2 linked regions of the Alligator mississippiensis genome follow. The protein of the gene in region 1 binds, or shares a complex with, the protein of each later gene. Links are inferred from orthologs where the notes say so. Each region holds a gene or a part of one and is shown on either strand. Other genes may lie near its edges. The genes, in order: PHF2 and VRK1.

Region 1 (16,038 bases):
ACGATGTCATAGGGATCACGGAGACCTGGTGGGACTCCACCCATGACTGGACCACGGGGATAGATGGCTATACCCTGTACAGGAGGGATCGTGTAGAGAAAAGGGGCGGGGGTGTAGCTCTCTATGTTAAGGAAAGCTACGCGTCCCTGCAAGCCGATATTGGCGACCAGGGTGGACGGCTGGAGACCCTCTGGGTTAAAATCCATGGGGAACACGGCACAGGGGACACAATGGTGGGAGTCTATTACAGACCTCCCACCCAAAGTCCTGAGCTAGACCAGGAGTTTGCCCAGGAACTGGCTGAGGCAGCTTGCTCCAGGACCATGGTTGTCATGGGTGACTTCAATTACCCAGACATCTTGTGGGAGGATCGCTCAGCAAAATCTGAGCGGTCGCAGAGCTTCCTCTCGTGCGTGGATGACCTCTACCTGACTCAAGAAGTCTATGGGCCAACGAGAGGCAAAGCGCTGCTCTACCTGGTGCTGGCTACTGGGGAGGACCTAGTCGGCGACCTAGTGATCGATGGGAAGCTGGGTGACAGCGACCACGAGCTGATCACCTTCACCATCCGCCGAAAAGCTGGCAAGTCAGTCAGCAACACACAAGTCCTTGACTTCAGGAAAGCCGACTTTGACAAGCTCAGGAGGCTTGTCAGTGAGGCCCTAAGGGACTGTGACCACAGGGAGAGGGGAGTTCAAGAAGAGTGGTTGCTCCTCAAGGGAGCGATCCTCAATGCACAAACTAAGTTTATTCCATCTCGGAGGAAAGGCAGCAAGAGGGCACAGCAGCCCCCCTGGCTCTCCAGGGACCTAGCAGACCTCCTGAGGCTAAAAAGAAAGGCCTACAAAGGATGGAGGATGGGAGTCACCTCCAAGGAGGATTATTCTGCACTGGTCCGGTCCTGTAGGGAGCAGACTAGGAAAGCCAAGGCTGCAACTGAACTCCAGCTAGCTTTGAGCATCAAGGGCAATAAAAAGTCCTTTTTCAGATATGTGGGGAGCCGGAGGAAAAGCAGGGGCAACGTTGGACCCCTGCTGAACCAGATGGGGCAACTGACAACTGACGCCCAGGAAAAAGCCAACCTATTAAATAGGTACTTTGCGTCGGTCTTTCATCAGCCCCATGGGACGCCCGTGCCCGCTACAGGGCCGGGAAGTCCGGGTGAGGGTGATCCCCTGCCCTCCATTAATGCTGACTTTGTGAAGGAACATCTTGAGAAGCTGGATACCTTCAAGTCAGCCGGCCCTGACAATCTTCACCCCAGGGTACTCAAGGAGCTGGCAAGCATCATAGCCCAGCCTCTAGCGCGGATCTTTGAAAACTCTTGGCGCTCTGGTGTAGTGCCCGAAGACTGGAAGAAGGCCAACGTGGTGCCTATCTTCAAGAAAGGGAGGAAAGTGGATCCGGCTAACTATAGGCCCATCAGCCTGACTTCTATCCTGGGGAAGATCTTAGAAAAGTTTATTAAGGAGGCCATCCTTAATGGACTGGCCGACGCCAACATTTTAAGGGATAGCCAGCACGGGTTTGTTGCGGGTAGGTCTTGCTTGACCAATCTCATTTCCTTCTACGACCAGGTGACCTATCACCTGGACAAGGGAGATGAGATTGATGTCATATATCTTGACTTCAAAAAAGCCTTCGATCTGGTGTCCCATGATCGTCTCTTGGAGAAACTGGCCAATTGTCGCCTTGGGTCCCCCACGATCCACTGGCTGGAAAATTGGCTCCGGGGTCGGACCCAGAGGGTAGTAATTGATGGAAGTCACTCATCGTGGTGTCCTGTGACCAGTGGGGTCCCCCAGGGCTCTGTCCTTGGACCCATACTGTTCAACATCTTCATTAACGATGTGGACACTGGAGTCAGAAGCGGACTGGCCAAGTTCGCCGATGACACCAAACTTTGGGGCAAAGCATCCACACCAGAAGACAGGCGGATGATCCAGGCTGACCTGGACAGGCTCAGCAAGTGGGCGGATGAGAATCTGATGGTGTTCAACGCCGATAAATGCAAGGTTCTCCACCTTGGGAAAAAAAACCCGCAGCATCCTTATAGGCTCGGCAGTGCTATGTTGGTTAGCACTATGGAAGAAAGAGACTTGGGGGTCATCATTGACCACAAGATGAACATGAGCCTGCAATGCGATGCTGCGGCTAGTAAAGCGACCAAAACGCTTGCTTGCATCCATAGATGCTTCTCAAGCAAATCCCGGGACGTCATTCTCCCCCTGTACTCGGCCTTAGTGAGGCCGCAGCTGGAGTACTGCGTCCAGTTTTGGGCTCCACAATTCAAAAAGGATGTGGAGAAGCTTGAGAGAGTCCAGAGAAGAGCCACGCGCATGATCAGAGGTCAGGGAAGCAGACCCTACGATGACAGGCTGAGAGCCCTGGGGCTTTTTAGCCTGGAAAAGCGCAGGCTCAGGGGTGATCTGATGGCCACCTATAAGTTTATCAGGGGTGACCACCAGTATCTGGGGGAACGTTTGTTCCCCAGAGCGCCCCAAGGGATGACGAGGTCGAATGGTCACAAACTACTACAAGATCGTTTCAGGCTGGACATAAGGAAGAATTTCTTTACTGTCCGAGCCCCCAAGGTCTGGAACAGCCTGCCACCGGAGGTTGTTCAAGCGCCTTCATTGAACACCTTCAAGATGAAACGGGATGCTTATCTTGCTGGGATCCTATGACCCCAGCTGACGTCCTGCCCTTTGGGCGGGGGGCTGGACTCGATGATCTTCCGAGGTCCCTTCCAGCCCTAATGTCTATGAAATCTATGAAATCTATGTCCTTTGCTAGTGGGATCTGTTTGTGCCTTGACCATGCTAATTTTTCCCTACATGCTTGGGCACAGTATTCTTATACTCCTGCTTAGTAACATTAGCAAGTTTCCATTTTTTTGTAAGATTCTTTTTATAAGAAGAATTCATGGTTTAACGAAGTATGTTTTTTCCTGCACTTTCTATTTACTTCTCTATTTTGCTTCTTGATGTTTTGGGGCATGGTAATCCTGGGAACATATGGAATTTCAGCCCCAAAGCCTACAGTGCCACTCTGCCCTCAACTGCTAAAGAGCACACACCAACTGCTGCAGCTTCCTTAGCCTGACAAAGGGTTTTTGAACCCGAAAGCTTGCTTAATAACTATTCTCCAACCATTTAGGTTGGTCTAATAAAAGATATCAAATTCACCCAAGGAACCTTGTCTAGTTAAAAAAACAAATTTAGCATGACTTTCTGTGCTGTCCCTGGCCAAGAGTAAAATGTAACAAAGAAATAGAGTATCTGACATTCAGAAGGGAAAATGGGAAAAGATGGGTGGTGCCACCACCAACTCACCCCTCTCAAATTCTTTAAGCCTTGTGACCTGTTTCAAGTTTGATGCACTAGACTGCTTCCTTATTTTTTCCTAAAAGCAGAACCAGATAGAAAAAGGACAAATAAATTAATTCATCAGACTAATGTGAAAACCCACAGAATATGTCAAAAGGGGGTTATAAAAAAAATGAGGATTAATATATACACCAGAACAGGGGTAAACCCTGCATCTAGAAACTGTACTAAAAAATCAGGAAACTCCCAGGTGACAGTTTGTTCTTGTAACAGCCACCTCGGGCTGTGGTTTATCTATGCAGATTGAACCTGGGACTTCAGCTTCTAAAAATAAACCTGCTCAGGCTCAAGGATTTTGGATGGGATTTTCTGAAGTGCCCAAGTAGCCTAGGAAGGCCTAGGCAATGGGACTGTTGGTCCTACATCACTTAAATATATCTGAAAATCCCACTTAGATCCATGAGCTCAAAGACAATTGCAGGTTTATGTAACCTTTGTTTATAAACCTTTACATGTGATGTAGCTACTACAGAGGGATGCAGAGCCATACTGTGTTAGCATGTAAAACCTATTTCTAGTATACGTCTTTCTGTTAGACACCCACAGAGACTTAATTTGGCATGACTATGTTCTGTGGGTATCTGTTGCGATTTATTCTGCCGATTGTGTTTTCAATGCATATGCTTTGCTCCAGAAGTATGAAGAAGTGGTTAACACTCAGATGCACTTTATAATAATTAAGATGTCACACCTGAATGATACCACTCCTTCCACTGAGACTGACAGCAGCCAAACATTCCCTAGATATGGATTCTGGGTTTATGTACAGAACTACTAGATATCCTTTCCATCTGGCTTCTGGCTCCAGACTGAAACTTAGAGGCAGTTAATCCCTAGATAAATGATTCATGGAATGTGTATCCATTTGTGTTGTTTGTTGAAATTCCAGGCAAACATCTCTCAGGTTCTTGCATCACCTGGCTGGAACACTAAGTTCACAGTTTATCTTTGTTGTTGTTGCCAAAGTCCCTTCAGTATTAAATAGGCCTTGCTCACTAGTGGCAGAAGTGGAGATGTGTTGACAGTAGAGTCTTAGGCAGTGCTTTGGAAATGGGGTTGCTTACCCTGAGAAACAGGCGGAAGTGAAATAAAGTAAGTAAGGATAGAATTTTTCACAAATCATATGGGTCTGGCTCAAGCAACTTCCAAAGTATCTGGAAACTGGAACAAAGCATGGAACTTGACATGGTGAACGGCTCATCTGTGAATGCATGTACACAGAATGACAAATAAATATATATTTACATTAAAATAGGGGCTATTGAAATACAGGAGTGAAATCTCAAATGTACATATACTAGTCAATAAACATATGCTAGCAATATGCAAATGGGAAGCCCATGTCTGCAGTCCTATCTTATACCAAATTGCTCTGAAGTTGGTGAGTGTTTCGCCTAAATGTATCTTGCAGCATTGAGGCTCATTAACAGATAAATACAACCCCATGGAGAAGTTACTTCTCCTAAAGCCAACCATCCTCTTTCCTACTGTAGGGTACATTTACAGAATACATTTTAACTGCTGTATACATTTATAGCACCCATTTCATCCAGGTTAGAGGGTGCAGTTCAACGTCTTTGTTACTTTATGGTAGCAACTTTGAAATCTGGGGTGAGACTGAGATGAATGTGGCTCTGTCCACAGAAAATCAAGGTGATCCTGGTAGGCTGAGGAACCCTCTGCGGAATATTGAGTAGATTATATTGGCAGTTCTAACGGAAGGTGAATCCGTTCTTTGCAGAGCACTAGTAGACTAGGTGCTTTTATATCACCACTGACCAGCTCAATCTGCATTTGGTCATAAATTAATGGCCTTGTACCTTGAATGATCCGTGCCTTTTTTGCTCAAGGTTAGCCTGTTGCCCTGAGCTCTACCTGCATTTGCTTTTAATTAATTTTTTTTTTTGGAAATTGAAGCTAGTGCAGAATATGGTGATTCACTTGTTAAATAAGAGCCTTCTGCCATAAGCCATCCTGATTCCAGTTCTGTGATGTGGACTAACTGTTGGTGTACAGGGTTATTTTCAGGTGCATTTGCCTACCTGGGAAGCCTCATATCTCCCTGAGTTTTACTGATGTAGTTAAAATATGCAGAAAGATTTGAGGCGATACCAAATTATTAGAAATGAATTTGAGCTGTGTGGACTGGCTTCTTGCAGAGAGGTTGCTGGTTTGCAGAGAAAGGAGTGGTTGTATTGTTGAACTGTTTTTAAGGATGTCAGGAGTGCCTAGAATCTAGGATAATTGTTCTTTTATATTCTGAAATTAAACCCAGTAAATATAGTACAGAAAGATGTAAACTCTGCATGAATTGAATATATATCTTGGCTGTATCATGCATCATCTGTTGTGGCCTGTCATCATCTGTTGTGGCCATCATGAGATAATAGCCTCCCCTAAAGGACATACAGAGTGGAGAATACTATCATCATCACTTTTCCTTAGTTCCACATTGCTCAAATCAAAACTGAGCACTGGTGAAAAGATTAAATGGAGCAACCCCCATCATCAAACTGAACCAGCTAACTTTTTCTTTTTTATCCGAGTTCTGAAATTAGTAAAAAGGGAGTGTGAGTGCATGAGAGTAGCAGAATGTACATTCCTGGAATAAATAGAAGTGCAATGATGCATGTGGTGACTTAGTGATTTACCCCTTTGTGATAAGGTTAAGTTACAGGAGTTGTCTTTTAATTAGGTGATATTATATTATTCTATATAGATCAGATTAAATGAGAACAAAATAATATTTAATTACAATTCAAATTTAATTTTAAGATTTATTCTAAAATTGTGCCATGCCCTGGATTGCTCAATTAAGTTTTTGAAAGTGAATTGATGCAGCACTTCCTGATAGATTCTGCAAGTGGGCATCATTAGAATTGATGTGAACTGCCCTATTCATTCCACACTCTGAGGCCTAATGATTTCAGTTTAACAGTTAATCTATTTACCACCATTAACTATTTCACATGAAATTGCTTTTTTAACATAAACATCTGGTTACTTTGGCTGGTGAATGGTATTGCTTGGAAAGTATTGCCACATCTCGCACGCATGGGGCTCCTAGTTAAAGCAGTAGAACTACTGACTTGACTCCCTGCAGAGACAGACTGTTTGGCCTACTTACACATTTGGGGCTCAGCCCTTCTCCCATGAGAATCACTAGGGAAACTGCCATTGTCTTCACTGGGAGTGAGCTCAGGCCCATATATTAGAAGAGAACTGCTTCTTGTACATGATCAAATACTTATTTTTCACACACTAACTATCCTGAAATAGTCGCTGTCAGATTTAGTTATTGTGTGTTTCATCAGAAAGTAGATCTCTCACATTTTGTAAAAGCAGGTAGCAGGCTCAAGGGGAAACAAAATGGCAAAAACACCTATGGGCCATGTCCAGACGTGCAGATGTTTGGTTCCCCATGGACAAGAAGCAGTGGCACACCTTGTACCACTGCTACTTGTCCCAAGGGAACGCCCATGTTATGCACCCTTTGGCATGCATCAGGTTACCCTGGGTAGAATAGGGGAGGCTGGGGCCAGCAACTGTGCCTAGGATCTTGGGGGCTGGGGAAGCGGCAGCCATGGCACTCCTACAGCTTGGAGCCTGGCTGACAGCCAGAGCATGGCTCCAGCAGGCCAGGCTCCAGTTTTGAGCACCACATGCTGCAGTCAAGTGTACCACCCTGCTTCTTTTCTGCCCGGTTTTTTTTGACCCCAGGATCTCCCAGGGTCAACCCCCCCCCCCGCTTTCCTGCTTCTTGAGGTTCAAGGTAGCAGCGCAGGAAATGCATGAATGTATGGTGTATTGCCTGTGGATGATCCTTTGACTCCAATGGGAAGATGGACATGCCAACCTTAGCAGTCCCTTGCAAACACACACCACGAGCATCAAGGCGATGATCATCTGACATCAACTTTGCTGGGCTAGCCATATCATCTGGATGTCTGACTCCAAACTCCTGCAGCAAGTTTTATTCTCCCAGCTTAGTCAAGGCATATGACCAACTGGAGAGCAGAGAAAGCACTTCAAGGATGTCCTCCAGGCCAACTTGAAAAAATGCAACATTGACATCAACTTGTGGGGGGCTGTTTCCCAGGATCACCCCAAATGGAGGAAGTATCTGCTGCACGGATCTTAGTACTTTGAAACCTCATGACAACAGCAGGAGACAGAAAAGCGGGACCAGCAGAAACAGTATTGAGGACTGAATCAAGAATACGGAGCCACCTGTTGCACAAGAAAATACATTCCTGAATTCAAGAGAACCTGTTGTTCCTGGATTGACCTTGTCAGCCATCTTCAGACCCACAGATAAGGCAATCATAGAAGGCAATCATCCTCAACTGTGAAGGTTGTTGATGATGATATTTTGCTAAAGCCATTAGGATTAAGGACATTTTTATCTTTCTTTACTAAGATTTGTTCAAGGATAATCCATACTACCTGTCAGTGGAAGGATTCCCTACTTTACATTTTGGCAAGATGTTGAAATGTTTTCCTGGATCTTTTATTTCCACTGCTTTATCTCCTAGACTTGGTCTCCCATATTTCTGGCTGGGGCACTTTAAGCTTTTCTCCTTTTAAGTTTTTAAAGTGCCAATAATTTTTTGTAGTACCCTTGAGTTATCCTACAGGGGGCTTGAATTTTAGGAGAGAGATAATTGGCAGGATGTGAAAAATCAGTCCCCTAAATTTGAGTAACTCAAATTCACCAAGTGCTTGTCAAAATGTAGGCCTATATTAGTCCCCTTGGTAGACTACAACCTTACTAATCTCAGTCTGTAGTGTGTATGGAATGTATAAAGTAAAAGTCATTGTGAAATAGGATTTCTGCTTGTAAGTATTATTTAAAAGGTCAGCTATATCAAATGAAACAAGACAAGTGGATGGCTGGCCATTACAGAGACGTTCATCTCTAATTCTGGTTCAAGTGTAGACCAACATGGTAGTGACTGAAAGTCATTGCTATTGTATGACAGTTTAGCGACCTATATAAAAGAAGTTGGCAGTCTCGCTGTAATCCCTGTGGACAGGTCCCACCAGTAGGAACAACAGTCTTTTTGGTACCTCTACAGAGAGGCCTAAAGCTAGATTTCACTGTACACCTGAATTTCCCTTACATCCCTAAAGGTCATTCTGTACACGTTTTGTACTCCTAAGTGACACCTAGCAAAACATGCCTAGTATCTTACAGCTTTGATTTGGCATTTCCTATGGCACAGTGCATTCACTTCCATTTCTTCAGACCTACTCACTCCATATCTAATGTGTAACATAAGATAGACTTGCTTTGGGAGCTTTAAAGCAAATAATCTATTAAAAGATTCATCAAATAAGAAAATACCTTTTTATATGCTTAAAATATATATATATTAATGCATCTAATGCCCATGTTGCTTAGATCAGTGCTTCTCAAAGTGGTGGTCCGCAGACTGGTGCTGGTCCGCAAGCCACTGGTCCTCGGTCCGCAGAGAATTGCCAGGAAAGAAAGAAATACATTCGCTGGTCTGCAGCGAGTTGCCAGGAAAGAAAGAGAGATATTTTCAGAAGCATAACATTGATATGTCATAGCGCCACAGTTCGTACGTTCCAACACTCCAGGTGACATCACGTCGTGTGAGGTGAGGAAAGAAAGAAACAGCCGGTTGCGCATTTGTGTAGCGCTGTTGCGCACAGTTGTTGCCACCGGCTGAACTGGGCACTGATCCCTGGCCCACTGGAAAAAAAATTGCTGGTCCACCACATCAGATAGTTTGAGAAGCACTGGCTCAGAGCACCCTAATTCTTTACAGCAGCGCCGTGCCTAGACTCCTGGCAGACCTGGGTGAACTTTTAGTATCGGCCCCCCTTTGCCAGCAGTAATGATAATAATAATTTTTAAATTACCATTTTGGGACCCCCTGTTTGTCCAGGCCCATGGCAACCACCCAGTTTGCCCAGGCCTGTGTCCGGCCCTGCTTTAAACCTTTAGTTTATGTTCTTACTGTGTTACTTTAGAGTTTAGCCATCTTTCACAACTATAGAGTTGATTGTTAAGATCTAAACACAAACCTTATTTTATGTTACATTTAAAATGATATGTTTGTGTGTATGCTTATATACATACAGTCACCTATAATTATGATATATTTATATGCGTACCCACATGCGCACACATTTTTGCTTCACTATGAATATATATTCTATTAGAAATCGGTGCTCTTGACCACGCTGGAAAATATTTTTGTAGCTCTGAACAAACGTTGATGACAATTTGGATAAATTAAGCCTGACTTGAGCGGTAAATTACAGCGAACAAGTGACAGGTGATGGTTTAAAAAAAAAAAAGTTTGATCCAGCAACCAGCTCGGGCGTAGGGGCCAGGGTTTGTTGGGAATAACAACACTGCTTTGGGTGTCACATCCGGTTCAAACAGAAACCGACCAGAGGAGACACGTTTTATTGTCGTGTTAGCGAGTAAGCTCGCGGAACAACAAGCAATGCGGAGTGAAAGGAAGCACCCGCGTATCACGACTGAAAGCTTGATTCCCCTTACCCTGCCTGTCAGTTCCGGGCACAGTGAAAAGCGGACCAAAGCCCCCCCGTGCGGGGAGGGGGCAGCACGGGCGCGGGCGAGACCCGAGCCGCCTCGAAAGTTTGCGTCTCCGCGGAGGCGTGCGCCGCCCCGCCGCAGGGCCATTTCCCCGGGAAATATGGACCGGGCCGTGCGGGCCCCTCCCGCTTCCCTCCGCAGGGCGCAGCTCCAGAAACGAGGGCTTTAAAAAAAAGGAAAAAAAAAAAAAAAGGAAAAGAAAAGAAAAGAAACCCCCGTCCCTAAAGCGGTGCGTTTCCCCCATCCGGCCCTTCGCGTCTTTTCCGGAGCCTCCCGCCGTGGGGCTTTGTCAGCCCAGCGCCCTGCCGAGCCCCCGCGCCGGGAGCCGTTAACGGGGACATCCATTTTAAAGCCGCTCTTGCAAAATCTGCGCTGCCGCCGCCGTGGCGGGGCGGGGGAGCCCCCGGGCCCGGAGCTGCTCCCCGCGCCGCTGTTTTAAATCTCCCTCCTCCGCCCCGTGCCGGCTCCCCGCCGCGCCCAGCCCCGCTCCGCTCCGCTCCGCTCCCCACCGCGCGCCCGGGACTCGCTCCGGCTTCGCCTGCCTCTCCGCAGCCCCCCCGGCCCCGGCAGAGGAAATATTACCATGTTGCGAGCTGACGTAAGGACATTACAAGGAAAAGGCTACATTTCGGAGTGTTTATGAAAAGCCTCGGTACTGTACTGTCACCAGGGGGCATGCAATATCATGCGTGCCGCCAAACATTTGGAATAATAATCATTTCACAACAACAACCACCCCCAAAAGAGAGCCCCGGGCCGGCCGGGGCTAGCGGAGGAGCCATGCAGCCAAACTTTGGGAAGCCCTTTCCGATTTTTCTGACATTGCTACCGCTCGCCCTTGAGGAGCCGTAATTGCATTATCTGATCCCCCCCTTCTCTCTGTCTCCCCCCCCCTTCTCCCCTCCCCCGACTCTCCGCGTTGCAAATTTGCTGGCGTTTGGGAAGGAGAAGCCGGCAGCTACCGAGCGGCAGGAGCCGCCGCGAGGCCAGCTCGCCTGCCTGGGAGCCCGGCGTTGTTTTGAAGGGAGCTAACATGGCGACGGTGCCCGTCTATTGCATCTGTCGGCTGCCTTACGACGTAACCCGCTTCATGATTGAATGCGATGCCTGCAAGGACTGGTTTCACGGCAGGTAACACAAAGCGATCGGGCCCTTTTCGCCCCCGCGCCCCCCCGCCCCGTTTCGCCGCGGTCCCCCCGCTCGCTCGGCGCCTTTCGCTGCGTTTCTCTCCAGGGCAGAGCGAGATGGTGGGGCTGGAGCCGCTGCTCCGTGCAGTTTTCCAACAGGCCTTTTTGGAGAGGAGGAGGAGGAGCCACGGCCGCCCGCTCCTCGCCGCTCTCCTTATTTCTCTTTTTCTCCCTTTCTTTTTTTGTGCGCGGCGTTTTGTTTTGTTTTGACAATGTGGCCCCTGCCCCCCGCCCCGACCGCGGCCCCGCGGCGCCGGGCTCGGGTGTCCCCGGGGGGCTATTGTCCTCGGCGGGGCGGGGACGGGGCCGGGGCGCGGTGTCCGGGGCCGGAGAGGCGGCGGCGGGGGCTCCGCAGCCTGTCACCGAGCTGACACCCGGGCCGGTGTCTCGGCTCGCGCTGGCCGCCCCGGCCTGGCCTGGCCTGCGCCGAGCTGGGTGTTTCCCGGCTGACAGGCGCCGAGCGGGGCCGGGCCCGGCAGGGCCATGGCGGGGATCCGGGCTGCGGGCGCCTCGGGGGCGCGGAGCCCGCGCGGGGAAGGGGGAGACCCCGCCGGGGCACTGCGGGCCGGGCTTGTCCCCCCGCGGAGACACCCCCGGCGCGGCGCGGCGCGGCGCGGCGCGGCACGGCACGGCTCGGCGCGGCGGGAGCCCGCCCAGCCTGAGCGCGCTGTAATGGTGGGCGAGGGCGCCGCCGCCGACTCGCCCTTGCACGCACACACACACACACACACACACACGCACACACACTCCAGCCGACTCGCCCTTGCACACACGCACACGCTCCCTCCCTTCCTCCCCGGATGGTTCCCCGCGCTTTCGGGCCGGCCGAGGCGGGCGAGTGCTCCCAGCCGGACCCCAGCGCGCGGCCGGGCCAGCCCAGCCCAGCCCAGCCCAGCCCAGCCCGCAGGCCCGGTTGGCGGCGCGGCCGCTGCCGAGCCCAGCTCCCCAGTACAATGGCTCGCTCCTTTGTCGCGGCGCCGTGTGGCAGCGCGGTCTGTGGCCGCCTCGCCGGCAGCCCCTGCTGTCACCGCGCGGCGCCGGGCTCGCCCGGCCGGAGCCTTTCGGGGGCTCGGGGCCGTTCAGGTGGGAAGAGGCCGAGGCCACACCTGGGCGGCTGGGGCGGGGGAGAGGTGTTGCGGGGGGAGGTCAGCTGGAGCAGACAAAGGGAGGGACTTCTCCTTTTGGCTCCTGCCTCACTAACCCAGTGGTACAGAAAGTGAATGTGGCTGTGCTTTTCCTGTGTCCGCCCTGAACTTGAAGGACAAGGGATTTTTTCTTTGAGAAACAAGGAAGTTAGTTAAAAAACAGTGTGAAGAGAAAGTAGGTTAAGGCAGCAAATAGAGTAACATTCATAGAGTTACCTTGAAGGTTTCTTTAACGTAAACTTGTTAGGGGCCTAGGTTTGCGTGCACCAGTTCAACATACCTCCAAGGCCAGGGAAGCATCTAGTAGTCAAGGGGCCAGTGGCTCGTTAGTTATCAGAACTTTAGTATTTCAAAAAACATTGACTCAAAATATGCTTGTTAAGAGAAAGTGTCTTTGGTAGGTGATAATCAAATCACAAGGAAATCTAAGAAAGGAACAGACCAATGATACACTTACAGGTTTATCCACAATAGTCTATAGAGCCTTCAAGTGTGTCAGTATTGCTACTAGACCACCAGGGTGTAAAGGCAAACATCAAAGAGGAAAAGGAAATGGCAAAGAAGTTTTCTTTGCTTTTGTCCTCATGAAAGAGCATGATGGAGAATTACCTACTTCACAGTGATTTACCTACTTCGTAAGTTGTAAAGGTTAGGCACTGTGAGAGAGAGAAGTATCAAAAAGAAGTGAAATTAAGATCCATTCAATCACCAGGACTAGATGTTATTCATCTGTTAGTTCTAGATGAATTAAAGAACAGAGTTGAGTGACTTATTATAGGTTCATAGGGACATAGGGCTGGACCAGACCTCACAAGATCATCTAGTCCAACCCCCTGCTAAGGCAGGATCATCCCAGCCAAGTGTCTGTCCAGCCTGCTCTTGAAAATTTCCAAGGATAGAGATTCCACAGCCTCTCTCAGGAGCCTGTTCCAGTGCTTGACCACCCTCACAGTCAGAAAGGTCCTCCTCATGTCCAGCCTAAATTCCCCCTGCACAAGCTTGGTCTTAGTCCTGTCCCCTACAGCCACATCTCCATCCGCTCTGTAATTTTCCTTCAGGTATTTGAAGACTGTTATCAAATCCCACCCCTCAGTCTTCATTTCTCCAGACTAAATAACCCTAACTCTTTCAGCCTTTTTTGCAAGTCATGTTTTCCAGGCCTCTAATAATTTTTGTTGCTCTCTGATGGACTCTTTCCAAGTTGTCCACATCCTTCTGAAATGTGGGGACCAAACAGTACTCCAGGTGAGGCCTTGCCAATGTTGAGTAGAGTGGAAGAATAACTTCCTTCAATTTACAAGTGACACTCCTGTTAATGCAACCAACACTACTGTTGGCCTTTTTTGCAACAAGAGCACACTGTTGGGTCATATTCAGCTTATGGTCTTCTGTAAAATCCAGTACTGCAGCCTAGCAGGTCATTCCCCAGACTGTATTTGTGTAAGAGAGACTCACACAGGTGTAAAATCTCAAGAAATTCCACTGACTTCAGTGCAGATGCTTTGGATTTATGTTGGTGTGACAGAGAAGGATTTGGTGCTAAATACCAAGTCTGGAGGTTCTTATGCACTTGTTACTCCATCTTTACTTAGGCAAACTTTGACTGAAATCAGTAAGGAGTTTTTATCAGTAAATACAGTAAAAAATAATTAATGACCTCAGGAGTGGGCCCTAAACATGCACAATTTATCATTAAAAGCAGGTACCAAAGACTTGAAGAACAATTAATGTTGCACCTATACAATGGTACTAAATTAATCTTGCAAATAAAAAGCATACTTCAGTATCAGGAAAAACAGTAGGAAAACCATTTAAAGATTGTTATTAAACTCTATATGACTGCTGCCTGATTAGTGTCCTATAAAGGTGTACTGTATGTTCTGTAAGGCTCTACTGTGAATGGTTTAGAAGAATTCTCACAAAATAGTAGATAAAAGGGATAAGTATGAGCAGGCTAAATGTCTGTTTTTGCTGTCACTGAAGTTCATGGGACCAGACCAGTCCTGAAGTGGAATAATAGAGACTGAGTGGAGATTGTTTATAAGAATTAAAAGGTTTTCAGTAAACTTCCTCACAAGAGGCTGTTTTAGAAACTTGCTGAGAGATGAGAGGTAAAGACTTTAAAAAGTGTTCCAGCAATATGAAGTAAGGCATGTCAATGAATGGCCAGTTCTTGGATTGAAAAACGTTAACGGCAGGGTGTTCTAAGAAAATGCAGTAGGCAAATGCCTAGACTGTTGCATCTATTTATTAAAGATTTGTAAGAGGCATGAGATGGAGATGAAACATATTTAGACAAAACTAAGGAGAATTTAGAGGCACTCAAGGAGCACCTGAAAAACAAGGTTATAAGACAGCATGATGGTAAATTAACAAAAGTGTAAGCTAAGCACACAAGAAAGGACTAGTTACTTTGCCTGTGTTGATGTGTTTTGAAGGCTATGATTCCCTAGGAAATGATATTTGCTCTTCTGTGGAGAGCTCAGGGAAGATATCTGGTCAAATAAGGAGTCCTTGGTTACATTAGAAAGTGATAGAATTTAATAGTAGGTCTATAACAACATCATATAAACTGATTCCATGTCCTAACCTTGAAAACTGTTTTCAGATGTAATGGTCTTAAATAGAAATAGCCTCAAAAGGAAAGGTTCAAAGGTGGTCTGTAAAATAACATGGGGCTGGGAGAAGGATGGGTCTTCTTTAAAAGGAGAGAATAAAAAGACTGTATTTATGCCAGAGGAGAGGAGTATCAGGAATGACAGAACAGAAGAGAGATGGCTTTTCAGAAGTTTCTTGTTGCATTTTTTTATAACCAATAAGTATACAAAAAAATCTATCAAGGCATTCTCATTTCTAAAAGGGAAAGTCTAACTGATTTCTTTAATTCCACAATATCTATTCTGTTGCTGCAGAGATGAGTCAGATAATTTCCTGATTTCTCTAGAAGTCATTACTCCAGAAGTTTTGAAAAACTTTTTGGCTGTCATTTATTGCCATGTCTCAAACTTTCCAATTACAGGAAAGGTTGCATTTCAGTAGGATTCCTTTTATTTCCCATTTTGGTTTTAGGGCAGAGTATAGTAAAGTGACTGCGTTAATACTGTTGGTTGGTAAGCTCCTGATGATGGGTAAAAGTAGTCCATGTTGATTTTGTTAGATGTATGGCTTTGATAACATTGTCAACATTACGTTGCAGATATGTCGGTAGGTTCTGAAAATGGTAGGTGGAATTTTTATTCATTACTTCCATTGTTTCCTTTTGGAGAGATTTCAGAGAGCTGTGTTGGGTAGGTAGGCATTTGCTGTGAGCTCTCTCATATCTGGTTCCATATTTGGATCTTGTGGAAGGCCCTTTGTTTATCAAATGTTCTGAGATATGTGTTGATAGAACCCATATCTAGCAACTTCTTGGAGATGCGGGTTACCAATATGCAGGTGGATTCTCATTAGCTTGTGCCTGAATACTGTAATTTTCTTTGCTCTTCCAGAACAAACTTGTGGAAACAGTCCAGAAATGATAGAGGAGATACCTGTTGGCTATGGAAAACAATGCTCTCAGCTCATAAGGGTTTTGACTGGTCTTTTTATTAATGGAGGATATATGTCCTTTGCCTAAGAGATTCTCTCTCTTGGAATTATTTTCAGTTCTCAAGTGTTTGTGCTTTCCTTGTTAGTAGTGGTAGCTCATGTTGTTTTCTTGCCTGTGGTTAATTAAGCAGTTA
Region 2 (16,432 bases), on another chromosome or scaffold:
ACAATAATGTCATTCCAACCCATCTTTCTCATTTTTTATTCTCATGCTTTATTTATTTTTAGCTACATTATTGCTTTGGTCTCACCAGTATAAATCACTTTAGGTAATGGAATACCAGTTCATTAGATGCTCTCTGCTTTCCATTATGCTCTGTCCACTGAATTTCTCTACTGAGTGAGAATTGACTGAATTCAGACTATGCCAATCTGACCTGATCTCTTCAGCCCCACAAGAAATCCTTAAGATGAATTTCACTTGCTATTTAAATGAAATGCTCACTCTTTCCATATTATACTTACTAAGCACCTCTTTAAAATATTTTGTAATTTAACATAGCCAGTGCAAGTCAAATGAACAATCAATCCTCACCCATTTCTAAAATCACTTTAAATTGTGAATCTGAATTTATTTTTTGCTGTGCTCTCAGGTATTACTTAAAACCTGAAGAGGTTTTCTCTCAGTACTGATTTTCTGTTCCTATATCATTATTATTATTATTATTATTATTATTATTGCTTTATTCAATGAGAATAGGTGGTGGCCTAAAGGATGACTTTGTTTGACCCATCCCCTTTTGGCCTATCCTGCTCAGGTGACTTTGAGGGATTAAAACTCCTGCCATGGCTCCTGGCACCACCGTGGTGCATAAACCACCCCACCATTTTAAAATGCAGTCCCTAAAGAAAGATTTTACACTTAGATTACTGAATGATAAAAAGTTACAAAAACCTTCCAAAACAATACAAATTTAAGAAGTAAAATCTTAAGACTGCATACATTTTCAACATAGTCAAGAATACAGCCAAAAAAACAAATGTTTGAGAGGTGAGGGGAGAACTATGCCTCTTGGAGTACGCATATGGGGGGAATTACCAATATTTTAAACTTATGTGACGAAAATTGATGCAATGTTTGGTTCTAGTTTTGGAAACTGGCCTTTTCAAGCTATAGACCTCCTAGAGATACTAGAATAAGTACACACCAATGGGATATACATGAAAGATTTGCAGATATTTTTTCCCCAGAATCTTTGAGATCTATCAAATTGACATTTGACTCGTCTGTATCTTTACTCAGTTTTTAGCATTCCTTTCTAGGAAATATTGCTTCAACACCATAATGCAACTATGCTGATTATTTAGTGCACTTCCACAAAAAAAAATCACATGGAAAGACCAAAAAGAAATCTGGATTTTAACTTTAAAACGTTCTACGTTAACTAAATTTGTCTAGTTATTTCTCTCTCGAAAAATGTTTTTTGCATGCGTAATAGTTGGCTATGAAGTCCTTTCTTTCAAGCAGCTCCTAAAACTAAGCTATTAACTGCAGCCAGCATCAAGGCAAAAGTTTTGGTATGTACTACGGGAGCCCCATGGTACCAAGTGCTGAGTCCACAGTAATGTAAAATATTCACCTCAGCTTGCAATACTTACAATATCTGTTCAAGAACAAGAATTTTAGCCCAATGTGGAACAGAAATGACTGGTAGAAGCACAGAACCATTTTACATTTGCAGATTCTGTGCAGACACTAGGAGTATAATAAAAAAATCTAGATGGAGGGAGAGGCAGTAGAGATGCCCTTCTGCCTCTCAGTAGGGTGGATTCCTTCTACAAAGGTATGTGGCTTCTTTATTCTGTCTTTGCTCAAATATTAAGGCCAGCACTGGAACCTTTCTGATTCTTGCAACTGGTCCTTGCGGTCTGCTGTTCTGGAGAATATTTGCTACTTGCCTTGTATTTTGCATGCATTACTGCAGGGAAGTCACTTTGCAGAAAGAGTATACCTTCTACTGCCAGATCTCAGGACATACTTTCTCATGCAAGTCTTTTGCAGTTTTCTGCATCTGAAGTTGGTGACGAGTGTACATTGGTGGAGAGTATACTGCAGGGATACTGTTCCCCTTCTGCAGACCTGGAGGTTTTTCTTTCCCTGCTTTACACCTCAGTTGGTCCACCTACCAATGTATCTATTGGAAAAGGCCATTTCATTTTCATGGGAACCAAAATTGGGTAGACATTCTTTAGTAGCTATAAGATTGCCATCTTAAATATGAAGTGTGTCATTGTATTCATGTTGTGATAGCATATAGAATTTAGAGTCAAGAAATGTAGGTCCTATTTCTAGCCCTACCAGTCTTTCTTTAAAATCTTGGGCAAATCATCTCTAAGCTTTTCAGCTATAAAATGGGAAAATATCTGACTATTCTAGTGGGAATGCTGAAATTTGTAAAGGGCTTTGATGGAGCAGGTGGTGCTAAAGAATTTTCTACAACTTTTTCTTGCAGAAAATTAACTTTTGTTACTTCCTTAGTGAAGAGCATTGGCATGATGAGACGCTGAAATCTGCATTGTTGTTAAAAATTGAATTGTTGTAAATTTCTCCATTTTTGATCATTGTTAACTGTGGGTACATCTACTTGGTGTGGAGAATGATTGCTTGAGCTAGCTTGGGTGCCAGAAGAAATACAGCTGTTTTAGGGCAGAGCTTGATCCAGATTAATATGCCAAGCTCCTCAACTGGGCTAAGGTGGTTATGTTGCTTTTGGTACTCAAATTAACTTGGTGAGGATTAGCTTAGGTATTTCTACATAACTGTGCCTTGTCCTGTGTCTACAGTACCCTATGGTGTTCTTTGCTTTTCAAAAAAAATTTAAATTCAGATATAATCCAATGAAATAATTAGGCTAATTTGCTAGCTCCAGCTAATGAAAGGACATGTGAAAAAACGCTAAATGTGTGGCAGGAACAATTTTGTTTCTAACTAGTTTTTAATACCACTCAGATCCAATAGGATATTATACTGGTCTGTTAATGCATACCTTGGGTGCATCATGAGGCGTGAGGTTATTGGGCAGATTGTCTTAAGTACTCATAAAGTGTATATTAATGGGCCAGGGAAAAAAAAGGCCCTGGAGGGCTCCTTTGCTCTCATCCTATATAATAGTTATTGCAGTTTTAAAAATTAATAAAAAAAGTATTATGTGCATCTCCACCAAGGAAAACTGTGTAAAATGGGAAGGAGAGAAAAATGCCAGATTTTGCTTTGGCATTAATATACCCGACATGTAGGGTCGCATCTTGCACATCATTGGGAGACTAATGGCCTCAAAGTAACATGTTCCAAGAGGGCCCTGAATTGGCACCATGTTCAGTTTGCAAATCTAGATTCACTACTTTAAACTCACCTCTACTACAGTTTCCTCACAAGGCTCTTGGCTCTAAGTTTTTGGCTTCAATTATAGTCCTATAAAATACATAGCCATTTTAATCATGTTACAGCAGCATATCAGTATTTCTTTTACCTTTATGTAGATAATACTGCAACACTCTTGTGAGTAATATAAGACTGTTCCATTGTAGAGGCAGGGAAAGGAAGGCAGAAAGACTAATCAGCTTGTCCAAGTTGGCAGTGTTTTGGTGTTTCTGCTCTCAGTCCTGTTCTTGGACTATAAAACCATGCCTTTTGCATGAGTTTACTCTAATTATTGCAAGATTAAAGATATGCCAAATCTATCATATTAAATGCAAGCAAGCACCTTTGAATTTTTGAGAGTAGGGGAAGGACTGGTATTTGGGAGATGAAATCCTTTAATCTAAACTTAGACATGTGGCTTTGGGGATCTAGTCTGTAGCTGGTTGATGAGCTAGATCTCCACAGAACAGCTTTTCATGGAAAAAACCTAATTCTGAATTTCAATGGCAGTGAATCCATTTTCTAATCTGGATTTGAACCCTGCCTTCTCTGGCATTCACTGCAAATAAAAATGTTGTTTCTATTAGGTGCCAAACATCTGTTCCATTCTCTAATTCAAAGTCCTTTGGCTGAACACTATATTAAGTCCACCTTGTACATATGTATGCATTTAAAATATATACTTAAATTGGTCTTTTTCTCAATTATGTTTATAGGACTCTGGAGAGTCACCAGTATTGCCAGCCAGTTCATAGCCAGCTGGTGCATGGTGCTAGCCCAGGGGTGGGCAAGTACAGCTCATGGATCTGACCTGCAAAGGGATTTCGTCTAGCTCTTGGTGGTGTGTGTGGCTGGTCCTGCTGCTCCCGGTTGGGTAGCAGGGCTGGAGCATTGTGGTGGCTGGACTCCCACTTCCTGGCAACCGCAGTGGCAGCCACTCCTTCCAGCGGCTACAGCTGCTGAACCCAGCTCCACTACCTGGGCATCCTGGCCTGTCCACCCCACCCCCACTGCTGGGGGTGGGACCTGCACGGGCAGGGTGAGCAGCAAGGCGGATGGGATGGGATGGGGCTGCGGGTGGGCAGGGAGTGGTGTCCAGGACCAGGATGGATGGGTGTGCAGGGCTGGGACTGTAGGTTGCTGACAGGTGCAGGGGCAGGGCCTGGGGCAGAGCTGCAATCCTGCCTGCATTTCCCTGTGACAGGCGCTGATTGCATGGGCAGGGGTGTGTGGCGAATGGGTTGCAGCTTTGCCTTGGCCTCGTGCTATCACTGTCCCAAGATCCCAGACTTAGCCCAGCCCACCAGTTCCACTCCCAGACACAGCTCCCCACCCACCTGCGGTCCCATCCTGTCTGCTTGGCTGCATGCCCTGCCTGCACAGGTCCCAGCCAGTCTCCGTTGAGACCCTGGGATCATGGGGCAGCGACAGTGCGGGGCTCCCTGCACGCCCCTGGGGCAAAGCCGCGATCTGTTCCCACATGCCCCTGCACATGGAACTGGCGCTCGTTGCAGGGGTGTGCAGGGAGCGGATCATGGTTCTGCCCTGGGCCCCAGCCCCATGGTGTCACAGCCCCATGATCCCGACTCCACACACCTGTCCCACTTCTGCATGCTGCTCCCACCCCACTCACGGCCCCATTCCAGCTACCTAGCCGAGCGTGGATCAGAGCCACATAAAGAATTTTCATGAGTTGTTGCAGGCAGGGGGGTGGGGGTGGGGGGTGAGGAAGGGGGGTTAGTGCTGACTTGGCTCATGACAGCTTACCAAAGCTCCCTAAGTGGCCCTCAGGCCCAAATAATTGCCCAGACTGAACATTGTGTCTAGGTTAGCTGGATTCTTTTCAGTCATAGCATGGGTGAGACACAACCTCTAAGCCCAATACAAAGCATTTGGGATTCCCTGGGTCCTTTATATACACTGATCAAAACAGTTTAATGTTTACAGCATCCATGTGCTTGTTCTTTTAAAGATCTTTAGGTAACACCATCCATCAATTAGTGTTTCCTTCCTACCAGATAAGAAAACCTGTTGTCTAGGTCATTGATCTTTATTTTGGTGACCTGTAATGGTCTTATCAATTCTCTGACTCTCTGCTAGCCTTGAAAAGTTTCTGTAAAAACTAACAAAGTTACTTCTATGCAAGTTATTTATGGTATGCCTAGTTCTATTCTAATGAGGCCTACTTTGGTTCATACTGTTAGCAGGGCCTCTGTGTGACTCGTATATGCACTAATCAATGGTTGTATTAATCCATACCCCAGCAAGGCCTACATGGCCACATGTATGGGCTCATACATGCATTTGGCTGTACATTTCTTCCAGGATGTGGGATTTTCTTTCAGCATTTTCAATCCTTGTTAACTAATGAAAGACTATGTGAAGAGAGACCAAACTCCCCCCAAAATGTCTAACATTGTTTTTAAACTCTGTTTAAAAAACAAGGTGTGATCAACGTTTTACTGAAGGACTGTTGTTAAATACGTCTCAAACTTTACATATTGACTACATTTGGTCTGTACTTCCTTTCTTTGTGAGAATAAAAGTAACACTGACGATGTATCGGGAGTGGTCCATAAAACTTGTCGCTATTTCAGATATTTGGCTAAAGTATGAAACACTTTCCACTGTAGCCATGGATTGATTAACTTTAAGGAAAGCATTTCAGCTTGGTTGAACCAGAGAGAGATATCCATTAGTGTATGGAAACACCAGACATAAATGATTGTTCTGACCACTCACAGAATCTTATTTGTTGCCTATAATGTTAAGACCTAGAAGCTATTGCTTTGAAGGCAGAACTGATTTTGGCCCCAGGGAAAAATGGGAAATTACTCAGCTCTTATGCTAAAAGAAGTGTGATGATTTTAGGTCAAACTCCTAGGTGGAAGAATATAATTTACTTTTTGTATTTTTGGAAGTACCCTTCAGCTGACTAGGTTTTCACTTAAGTCCTAGTACTCTTGCTCTGGAGCCCCCACTGAATTGTGAATTCTACTTTTCCAGTGTCAAATACCATCCGGTTAAATGGATCTTTACTCTAAAATGTTGAATTCTATTAATTTTTGTGTATATTGTGTAATATCCGTGTTGATGGTGTTAGAGGGTGCAGATAACAAATAATCTGGTGGGACCCACAATGAGCATACTACCTCTATGGGTTCCCTACGAGGGAGACTAATTGCCTTGTTCAAGGTCCCATGGGATGTCAGTGACAGACAGGGAATTGACCCTGGGTCTCCTAAGCATGCAAGCTAGCACTGTTACGATTGGTCCATTCTTATGAATTAGTATCAAGAAATGAAATAAGAGCTATCTTATTTTGGCTATATTTGTTTAAATGAGGTTTAAGATCCCCCTTCCTGGGTACCCAGTTAGTGTATGTTGGTAAGAGCTCTCTAGAGTGTAGTCACTGAAATACTTGTTCATAGAAATGATTTGCAACATTTGCTTCATCTTGAGTTCAAGAAAATAATTTGCATCACCATTTCTTTTCCAGTCCTGATCAGCTGCTTGAGAACGATGCCAGGGGCAAAGCACTAGTGTGCAACATCTTCCACTTTTAACCTTCTTCTGTGTCTTTTCTGTGAGGAGGTAAAGTGGGCCATAAGTTTTGCAATTCAGAATAGTGTAGGTTCTTGAAAAGCAGCAGAAATACATTATATGGATCAGCTTAGGTTTTTAAAGTAAACATGTCTGGGAACAATCATGATGGACATGTTATGTATTGATAGCTCTTAACTTATTTTAATCTTTGCATTTACCCCACCCCCCCTGTGAATGGAGAACATGAAAACAGTGCCCATCAAATCACATCCCTCTGCTTAAGGAACTACTGAGCTGAAAAAACAAAGTAGTTTTCTTCCCCCCTTCCCCCAACTCCTTGGCTTGCCTTGAATTCTGATCTTCCTACTATACATCTCTTCCAAGTTCACAGCTTGGCAGAAGCAAGTGTGGGTGTGTTTTGATTTGTATCTGACAACAAAAGAATGAAATGCAATGATCTCATGACAAGTGGATCAGTGCTCACAGGTGAATCAACACTTAAAGATTTGACTCACACAAAACCAACAACAGGGGAAAAATCTGTTCTGACCCTTCAAAGGCAACAATTTATGAAAAGGGCAGAAAATCCAAACTTAGTTTTTAGTATTTCTCTCTCAAAAATAGCTACCAAACTGTATACATTCTGTAAACCATTTTAATATCATTTGAGATAAAGATTTGAATATTGTGTAGAACTGAAAAAGGGAGACATGACAAACCCAGACTTATATAAGGTTAAGTGAAAAGGTTTCTCTGAGTAGGAAACCCCCAAAATTTACCAGAGTGATTTTTTTTATTTTAAATTTCTACAGGGGTTATATAAAATTCCTGTAACTATAGAACAGCAGAAAGTAAAAAATATATACGTTGCTCGGTTATTTTGCTTTCAGTTACTGAAGAAATTAATCCATATGCAAGTACAGAGCCTAGTGGTAGGATGTCAAGTGAGCAGGCTGTTTGGCCTGGTATAGATGAAGGCTGCGCGAGGGACATAACTGCCATTATGGATATTGTGAACAGTCAAAGTTCACTCACATCTTGCCCACAAAGCCCTGTGACTCTACCATGTATTGCTTCTTGCCCTGAAGTCTGGACAGGAGCTAGTCAGGGCTCAGTGCTGCAGCTGGCAGGGTGCTGGTCCTCTCAGCAAATTCCACCAGTTGAATTTAAAATCATAGAAAATTAGGGTTGGAAGGGACCCCAGCAGGTCATCTAATCCAATTGCCTGCTCAAAGCAGCACCATCCTCAACTAGATCATCCCAGCCAAGGCTTTGTCAGCATGGGTCTTAAAAACCTCCAAGGACGAAGAGTCCACAATGTCTCTGGGTGACCTCTTCTAGTGCTTTACTACTCTCCTCATGAGAGTTTTTTTCCCCAATATCTAACCTAAACTCCCCTTGCTGCAACTTGAGACCACTGCTCCTTGTCCTGTCATCTGCCACCACTGAGAACAGTCTAACTCAGGCAGGGCCGTATTATCCCTTTAGTGGGTCAGAGGCAAACCAACTCGTACACCCCAGGCTGGTTGAGACCCACCTCCCCGCTCCCTGCTGGGGGGGGGCTGCCCCCCGGCCCAGAGTATCCAACCAGTTGGGAAATTTGGTGTCAGGGGAGACAGCAAGCCATACTGCCAGCCCCACTCCCTCCCTGCTCGGATCAGAGCCAGGCCAAGCTCTTTCCACATGGCTGGATGGGGCCCCTCTGCAACCGCCCTGGCTGCTGGATTGGGACCCACGGCGGGCACTGCCCATCCATCCCACCGGCCAAGACGGTGGGGCACCACGGGCCTCGCTCCATTCTCCATAGAAAGGGTGGCTGCAAACTTGACTGCCAGGCAACCGTGACTGGAGTCTGCGGAGGTCCCTGGGCCCCAAGCAGGGGTCTCCCCTCAAGTCCCTTTTACTTTTTCCTTCTATCTCCTGAGCGCCCGCCTGCCAGGTGGGGGCGGGGCTGGTCTGGGTGCCAGGCTCTGCTGTGCGGTGCGTGCAGCGCACTAAAGCAGGAACCCTCGCACAGCCGTGTCCCCGGGCACAGCCCGGCTCGTGGCCTCTGCTGCAAGAGCAGTGGGAGGCCGGCGCAGAGCGCGGCGGGCTCCTGCCTATGGCAGTGTCTGCATTCCGTGGGGAGCGCAGCGCACCGAGCCCAAACGCCCCGGACCACCGCAGCGACTCGACTGACCCGGGCTCCAGAGGCCCAGCGCAGCGAGGCCCGCAGGCCGCCTCCCATTGGCTGCCGCCAGCCCGGCGGGTGTTTGCACACGGCCCCCCAGCGAGCCTCACCGCTGCGCCAACGCGCTTCGGAACGACCGGAAACTACCGCTTCCAGCGTGCACTGGGGCCGCGGACGGTGGCCGGCGGGAAGCGCCGCGTGCTGGTAGGCGGGGGCCGGCGGGAGGCAGCCAATGGCAGAGGGCAACGGAGTGGGGGGGCGCGGCTCGGCGGGCGGGCGGCGCAGGGCGCGCGCAGTGCGGGAATTTCGGACGACGCGGGCGGAGTCGCCGGGAGGTACCGCGGTGCGCACGGGCCGGGCTGCCCGTGGTGTGACTGACTGACTGACGGGCGGGCGGCGGGGCTGGCCTGGCCCTCGCCTGCCAGGGGGCTGCGCGCGGGGGATGGGGGATGGGGGAAGGGCTCGATGGCTGTGGAAGGCGCGGAGCCGGTTTCGGCCCGGCTGGGGGCCTCTAGTCCAAGCCCTGCTCGGAGCGGGATCGCCCCGCCTGCGCCTGCCTGCTCCGATGAATGGCCCTTCCCCGCGAGGGAGCGGCCGTGGCCGTGTCCAAGTGGCCCAGGCTTTTTCTGTGGCGCGATTAAAATATTTTGTAGGTCACCATTTGGGCGTCGCCCTTTTTAGCTCCGTTGCAGGTATCGAGGGACGGGGATGTCTCAAGGCCCCGGGGGGGGAGGCAGCTGCCAACCGGTTCACCGTCAGCATTAACAACATCCCAGGTGGCCTGAGGGAAAGCCAAAAAGTGTCTTGTAAAATTTAGATTGTTTATCTCTGTGATAACCAGGGATCCTGGTTTAAAAAAAAAAAAATCCCCAATTTTTTATTTAAAAAAAAAAAAAGTAACCCCAAATCCACATTTTTCTGTAATTAAAATGAAACACCACAATATGTATATGTCTCCGTATTAGCGGTGTTTCATTTAAATCATGGAACAATGTGGACTTGGGGTTACTTTTTGAAAATTAAAATTGCAGGATTTTTTTTTTAAATTGGAGAAACCCAGGATCCCTGGTGATAACTCTGTGTTGACACTGGAAATATCTAGGATGGTGTAGCTGTGCTGGCACCTCTTTCTTTAAAATGGGCAAAATTACATCTATTTTGGGAAATGGCAGCGGGGAATAAAAGGAAGTCATGCCAAACATGAGAAACGGGTCTAAAGTTTCTAGAAACTTTTTTTCTTTTTTGTTTGTGTGTGTGCGCACGTGTGTGAACGTGCACACGCGCGCGTTTGCGATCAGACTTGAAGATTTCTGCTTTGATTTTATGAACAATATTGATGACGTGTGGATTCCTGGTCTTGCTGGGACTGTCTATTCACTAAAAGGATAGCAGGTCAGCAGCATGGTCTTGTCTGCTGAAAACTGAAAGAAGTCCAACTGAGATAAACAAGCCTAAAATAGCAATTTGTAGAGGATAAAAGAACCAGATCAGGGAGAAATTCAACATCCTGAGTTGTCGCCCGGGGGAAAAATATCTCCTTAAAATAAATTTGATTTATATTCATTTTAGACTATTGAGAAAGGAAGAAAACACCAATTGGGAATTGTCTACTGGAGTTCGCTTTGAGAGCAAAAAAGTAGCAGCAAGAATGCCAATCCAGGCTTCATTTATAAAGATAACTTCACTAATAGCACTATTGATACTGAATTGCCTGCATACGTCAAAATAGCACACTCAATACTTCTTTTCTTCATGTACGCTAAAGAAGAGGGTTTGAGAAGGCTGGACTAAACAAATCATGATTCCTGCTGTAATTTGTTCATATTTGTTAGGTGCAAAGTCTATGCTTCTCAAGCTATTCAAGGCCAGAGCAGGTCACCGCCATATTAATGCTGCTGTTTACAATGATATACCTTGAAAATATGTTCTTGTCTAGTCACATAACTAAGGAGGGACAAGTATCTCTGGTACTTAAGATAACCAAGGATTTCAATGCTTTTTGCAATCACTAATGAATTAGCCCTCACTATCCCTCTGAGACAGGCAGTACTTCCATTTATTGATCATGGAGACAAAGAAAGGTGAAAGTGAACCTTAAATGAAACGAAGATAAATGGTTGCATTTCCCAACATGCTGTGCTTTTGCCATAAGGCCTCTTTTCCCTTGAGGTGGGAGATATGATAAACTAACACAACCACTGATGCTGCAGAAGGTGGTGCAGACCAATTCAGCAGGTGATGCTGAGTCTGTGCTAAATTTATGATGCAGTCTGGTATTACATTGTTTGGATGAGAGCGAGCTCTGATATCCTCAACTGAGCACCTGTTGTTCAAGAGGTACAGTTAATGCTGGCATCATGGTGACTCTAGCTCAAGTAATTTATCTTCAGTTATTTCTAAATCTCCCAACATAGTTTCATTTTGTTGTCATCTTTGCTTTCTGCCCTAAAATGCTATTGGCATTGTATTGTAATATATCTGTGGTATTTTTCAGGAGGCGAATGAGTTCTGCATCCAAGTTTGTAAACCATTTTATGATGGTATGGGCTGACAGTCATTTTTTAAATATAAAGATATTGGTGGTTAGTAGGAATAAGCAAGTTGAGTAGTAGAAGTTGAGTAGTAGTTGTTCTCATGTAAGGAGCTTTAAATGTGGAGAGCTTAGGCCAATGATCCATCTTATTTGGTAGACTTGCTGGTCTCTAGGTAGAAAGTGTTATAGAATAACAAAACTAGAAATAAAAAGGTCTTTCCCTTCCTGCTGTGTTTAACATGTTTTTCATACCTTCTTCATTCTTTTTACATTGCACTTATTCTTGTATAACTGCATGCAATCCCCAAATCTTCCTGTTTTTAGTACCATAAAGGATTCTTGCATTTTCCGATACAAAATGAGCCACTGCATCCACAGAGGACAGTTATTTTGCAACATTTCAACATGCTTACTTTTCTGCACACTGCCCATTTAAAATTATCTTTGCTTGGCTTCTGTGGCCTAGTGATAGGTTGACCAACCTATGAGTAGGCATGGTGCCATCCTAGCAGCGGGTGTGAGCATGGGCATCCCAGAAACTATGAATGAATATCTTGTTTATTTAAGGGCAGGATTCCCAAGTGTCGATATTCACTGTCCATCCTTAGCTTTCACTTCCGTGGCTTAAGGGGATGTTAATCAGAAATTCAGTTCTTTACAGTCTATTTAGGTATGTGACTGAGAGTATGGTGGACAAGTAAAACTGGAGGTAGGGGAACCACTCTTCACCTGTCATTCTCATGGAGCTAATCAAAATAAACTGCTTTGTCCCCTCCAAACAGGCTTGTCAGCAGCAGAATTATGATGAGATTACCAAGATGAAATACATCCATAATATTCCATGAATGAAGCTAATATGTATATATGATATATAATGTTATATATCATATATGATATATACATTTTACCAGTTTGTAGAAAGCGGTCAAAGAAGTTGTCATTGTCCCAGGAGAAAATGTGCCAGTATTAGTCTATAAAGTATTTTCTTAAGTTGAGAATGTAATTGTAGGTAAGCACAATAGCTCTATGTGCCTGGGGCAGCTCGTTCTGTCATTCAGACTGGCCATGCTATTTTTGAGATTAAGTTTGGGCAGAAAGCACAAGTTCTGTTTTTCTACAATTAAAAATATGGAGGGAAAATTTGAATCTAATGAAGAGAGAAACTGAAGTATTAAGAGACAGCATTTACAAGGATCATTTGAAAATTATGGATAACATGTTGTTTCTGTTTTAAGATGAGTAAAGAGACTCAGCTGTCCAGTTATATCTGAAACAAAATTTTGTTTTATGAGAATCTTGGAGAGCAGTTTAGAGTTAAATCATTGCATTTCATGAATTCTAGACAGTTTCAGATCCTATAGTTTTGTGCAGTAATACCTAACAACCTTTTTAGAAGTAATTTAGAGATTAAATACCCCTGTTTCCTTCCTCAACGTGACTACTACATACTTTCATCTGTGCTGGACATGGTTTACATGTTCTATGGATATTCAAATGTGGCTCTACTATCTAAAATTACACATGTAGGAACTATCTTTTGCCTTTCCTTCCAGGAGAGTTCTTTAGGCCTTAGCAAGGCAGAAGAGCTGTCTTAGGGGAAAAGAAGCATTTTGATATTCAGAAAAGGGATCTGCGGACTGGGGAAAAGTACCTGGAGATGATGGGGAGAGATGGACAGAATCCTCTAAGAACATTGCAGCTCTGTTGTTTCTGGATTATTTTAAATATCCTCTGAAACAATAAGTGGACTTTCATATTTGTTGAACATAATTGTGAGAGAACACTTCTCTGACATTTTTAACTGTGGTGACAGGTATTTGATCTTTTGTGAAATTGTTATTAGAAACTAAACTGCTGAGATAATGGTCAATGAGAAATACGAGGGAGTGCATTCTTTTGTGGAACAGTTGAGATTCCATTTTTTTAAATACTTAAGCTGTATTAAAAATTAGTGAATTCAACAGTTTTACTTGTAAGGAAACCAATATAGGTAAAATATTTTTCATATAGTTGGATCACAATGCATTATCATGTGAATAGCTGTAATTCTGTAGCATGTATCAAATTATGCAAAACCTTCAAATAAAAAAAAATCTCTTCTACAAAATTGCTTTCATTAGAGCCATTTTTCCTGATTCTTGAAGAAATTGCTTGTTTTTTCACCTAGAATCCATGCTGACAGGATTACTTTGAGAAATTCATAAAGAATTTTTGTAGTAACAATTTGGCAGTTTAAACAACTCATAGTTACTATGTGGAAGTCTGTCATGAGGAAAAGAAAGTATAAAAACCGGCATATGGAGTAGAATAAAAGTGTGAAAGTAAATCTGCTCAGTGTATAACCCTGTATTACTTTTTGTAGTGAAAATGCCTTATATAAAGAAGACATCTGGAAAAAGAGCTCCTGCGAAGAGGAAGCTTGCAGAAGAATTTGCTCCAGGAGAGGTGTTAACAGATACATCAAAAAAAGAGTGGAAATTAGGCATGCATATAGGGCAAGGTGGCTTTGGACGTTTATATCTTGGTAAGCTTGTGTGTACTAAACAGAGCATTTTAAAGTTGAGGGTCCTTAAAGCCTCCTCCCCTTCATCCTTTCCCCACCCCAACAATTCCTAGTTTAGGAAGGCTATGTATGTCAGCTGCAGCATAATATTTTTATTTCTTGCAAAAGGGAGAAGTGTAGGTAAAATGAGAATATTAGAAGACATTGAGGCATAGTTAGGAGTATGTGATATGGAAACCCCTCAAGTCTTAGTCTAATTCAGTGGTTCTTGACCTTTTCAAATTTGAGTAAGCCCTTAGTACAGAGGTTCCCAACCCCCGGGTCATGAAGGGTTGGCTGCCGGTCCACAGGAGGGTTGGCTGCTGGATTGGAAGTCTGGAAGTGACCGACATACTGCGGACCAGTAGCCAACCCTTTTTTATACTTCCGGTCCGCAGTTTGCTGGTCTATGGTTTCCCAGTCCGCAGTCTAAAAAGGTTGGGAACCACTGCCTTAGTAAGTTCAAAGCACCCATTGATAGGCCCTTCAGAAAATGCCAGCTTTTAGTTTTCACTTGTTTTTTTGATTATATAAAATGATACGGCAATTCTTCTGTTGCAAAGAACTCAGAAAAGAACACAACAGGTCTGAATGTTTTTAACACTATGGATTGCTATTTCAAATCTCTGGATTCCTTTCGTGTGGCATATTTATACAGCTTACAGTATGCATCACCCCTAAAAGGATATCAAGACACACCAGGGGACTGTGGCATCCAGTCACTGGTTTAACCTCAGCTAATTCATGTGACAGATTAGCTATAATCTTTACTGGTAACGTTCTTCATATATAACCCATTTTGTTCCTTTATAATATCACTTAAATGTTTGTGGACAGGCTTCTATTTTCTTACTTAATTACTTCTTAGGGAGCATTTCTGAAGTAATTCTAGTGGTTGTTGATGATGCCAGATTGATGGCATGGGCACAGCAATTCAAACATAACTATGCTGTCTTGCCAGTGTCTCAACCCTTACTTTAGCAGACCTATCTATGGATAGTTCAGTCTCCATGGTAATTTGATGTTTGTTCTGTCTTATGCTGGTATTTTTTTGTTAAGAGGATACTTAGCTCATAAATACAAAATTTAAGATTGTCAGCTCACTTCGTGCAAGCCACTGACCAGTTAACAGAGCTTTCTGCTTTAGCTGGGATGACTTGCATCTGAACTGCTGCCCATAGGTCATGTTGATTATTGTATGATCAGTTTACTGAGCCATCTGTAGATATCTGAGCATTTTTCTGTGCGGGTATTGTCACAAAATTCACTTTATAATGATACTTGAACTTCCAGGGAAAAGTTTGAATTTTTTTTTCTTATATCTAGCACCATTTCCAAAATGTATTCTGCATAGATGGCATAGAAGTGAGGTCCTCACAGAACCCTGGGGATTCCTGCTGAGGGCACCATGTTATGATTCTGTTCTTCCAATGAACGTTGAATGGTTAAAATTTTAAGATGAAGATAGTGATAAGGCTCTTGTACTATGTGGTGCATTAGATATGTGATAAGATGTTTCCCTTCCACTTGTGATACAATTGCACTGAATTCTGTAATTTCATATAGTAGTTCATGGGTTACAAAATCATTTATTGATCTAAGATGCTAGTAAAATGATCGGGCACCAATATAAGGTGACAGCGTTCTTCTGAGAAGACTTGGTCAAGAGAACTGGCAAATTTGATCGTGGCTAGAGAAGCCTGGCTTTGCTGCATGGTTTTGACTAAGCTCCTAATGTTTATTAAAGGTGGCATTCTCCTTGTGTTAGACAGTTACCCACATTATTAGTTGCTTTTTTATATAAGCCCAACCATGTCATGTTCCAGACATTGTTTAATCTCGTTCTCTACTTGTACAGAAGCACGTCCTTATGTATCTGTTATTCCTAAACTGTCCATTGTGGTATTCCATCACTCAGTAAATCTACTTCTATGGAAATTATGAAGTGGCAGCTGGGATAGCAAATAGCTGGAAGAGAAGAAAAAGACTGTTTTTGGTTATTATGGCATCTAGACAAAATAAGTACTTGATAGCTTCTTGCAAGTTGTATACCCATATTGTGTTTTTCTATCTGTCTTTAAATGAGTAACTACTATTTAATAAGAGCATTCCATTATCATTTTGCAATAAGCTTCTCCCTCCCGCCCTGGCAAGAGAGAACTCACAACCAGAAATTTAAGTTGGTTAAATCTGATACAGTTCTTCTGCCTAGATTCTGAAAATTATTCATGCTAATGTATAATTACTTTGTGGCATAGCTAAACAAATGACATAGCAAGTAGAAGCTTTGTTTTTGATGGTTGTCTCTCATCCTACTGATGAACACTTCATATTTTAACAGCTGATGTTAATTCTTCAAAATCGGTTGGCAGTGATGCATCTTATGTTGTAAAAGTGGTAAGAGAAAACTTGAATCTTTATTTCAAAATTTTAAAATGGCTGTTTT

Evidence for each region.
Region 2: the proteins of PHF2 (region 1) and VRK1 are in contact, whole or in part, in a crystal structure (PDB 8F8Y), measured with the Homo sapiens proteins. The link is inferred for Alligator mississippiensis from reciprocal best matches to the Homo sapiens genes PHF2 and VRK1. Residues at the interface, in NP_005383.3 of Homo sapiens: Tyr7, Tyr14, Val16, Thr17, Arg18, Phe19, Met20, Ile21, Glu22, Trp29, Glu39, Ala42, Ile45, Asp46, Tyr48, Lys64, Tyr145, Ser147, Glu150, Lys175, Val178, Asp179, Tyr182, Ser183, Thr184; in NP_003375.1 of Homo sapiens: Pro2, Arg3, Val4, Lys5, Ala6, Ala7, Gln8.

The regions. Positions count from the first base shown.
Region 1 is NC_081835.1:26,666,278-26,682,315, forward strand, and holds the start of PHF2 (lysine-specific demethylase PHF2), read left to right. Parts: upstream 1-10,169; 5' UTR 10,170-11,017; coding exon 11,018-11,115; intron 11,116-16,038. UniProt on the Homo sapiens protein: Lysine demethylase that demethylates both histones and non-histone proteins. Enzymatically inactive by itself, and becomes active following phosphorylation by PKA: forms a complex with ARID5B and mediates demethylation of methylated ARID5B.
Region 2 is NC_081825.1:279,888,269-279,904,700, forward strand, and holds the start of VRK1 (serine/threonine-protein kinase VRK1), read left to right. Parts: upstream 1-9,156; 5' UTR 9,157-9,246; exon of another isoform or gene 9,247-9,254; intron 9,255-11,405; exon of another isoform or gene 11,406-11,451; intron 11,452-13,806; 5' UTR 13,807-13,811; coding exon 13,812-13,968; intron 13,969-16,327; coding exon 16,328-16,383; intron 16,384-16,432. UniProt on the Homo sapiens protein: Serine/threonine kinase involved in the regulation of key cellular processes including the cell cycle, nuclear condensation, transcription regulation, and DNA damage response.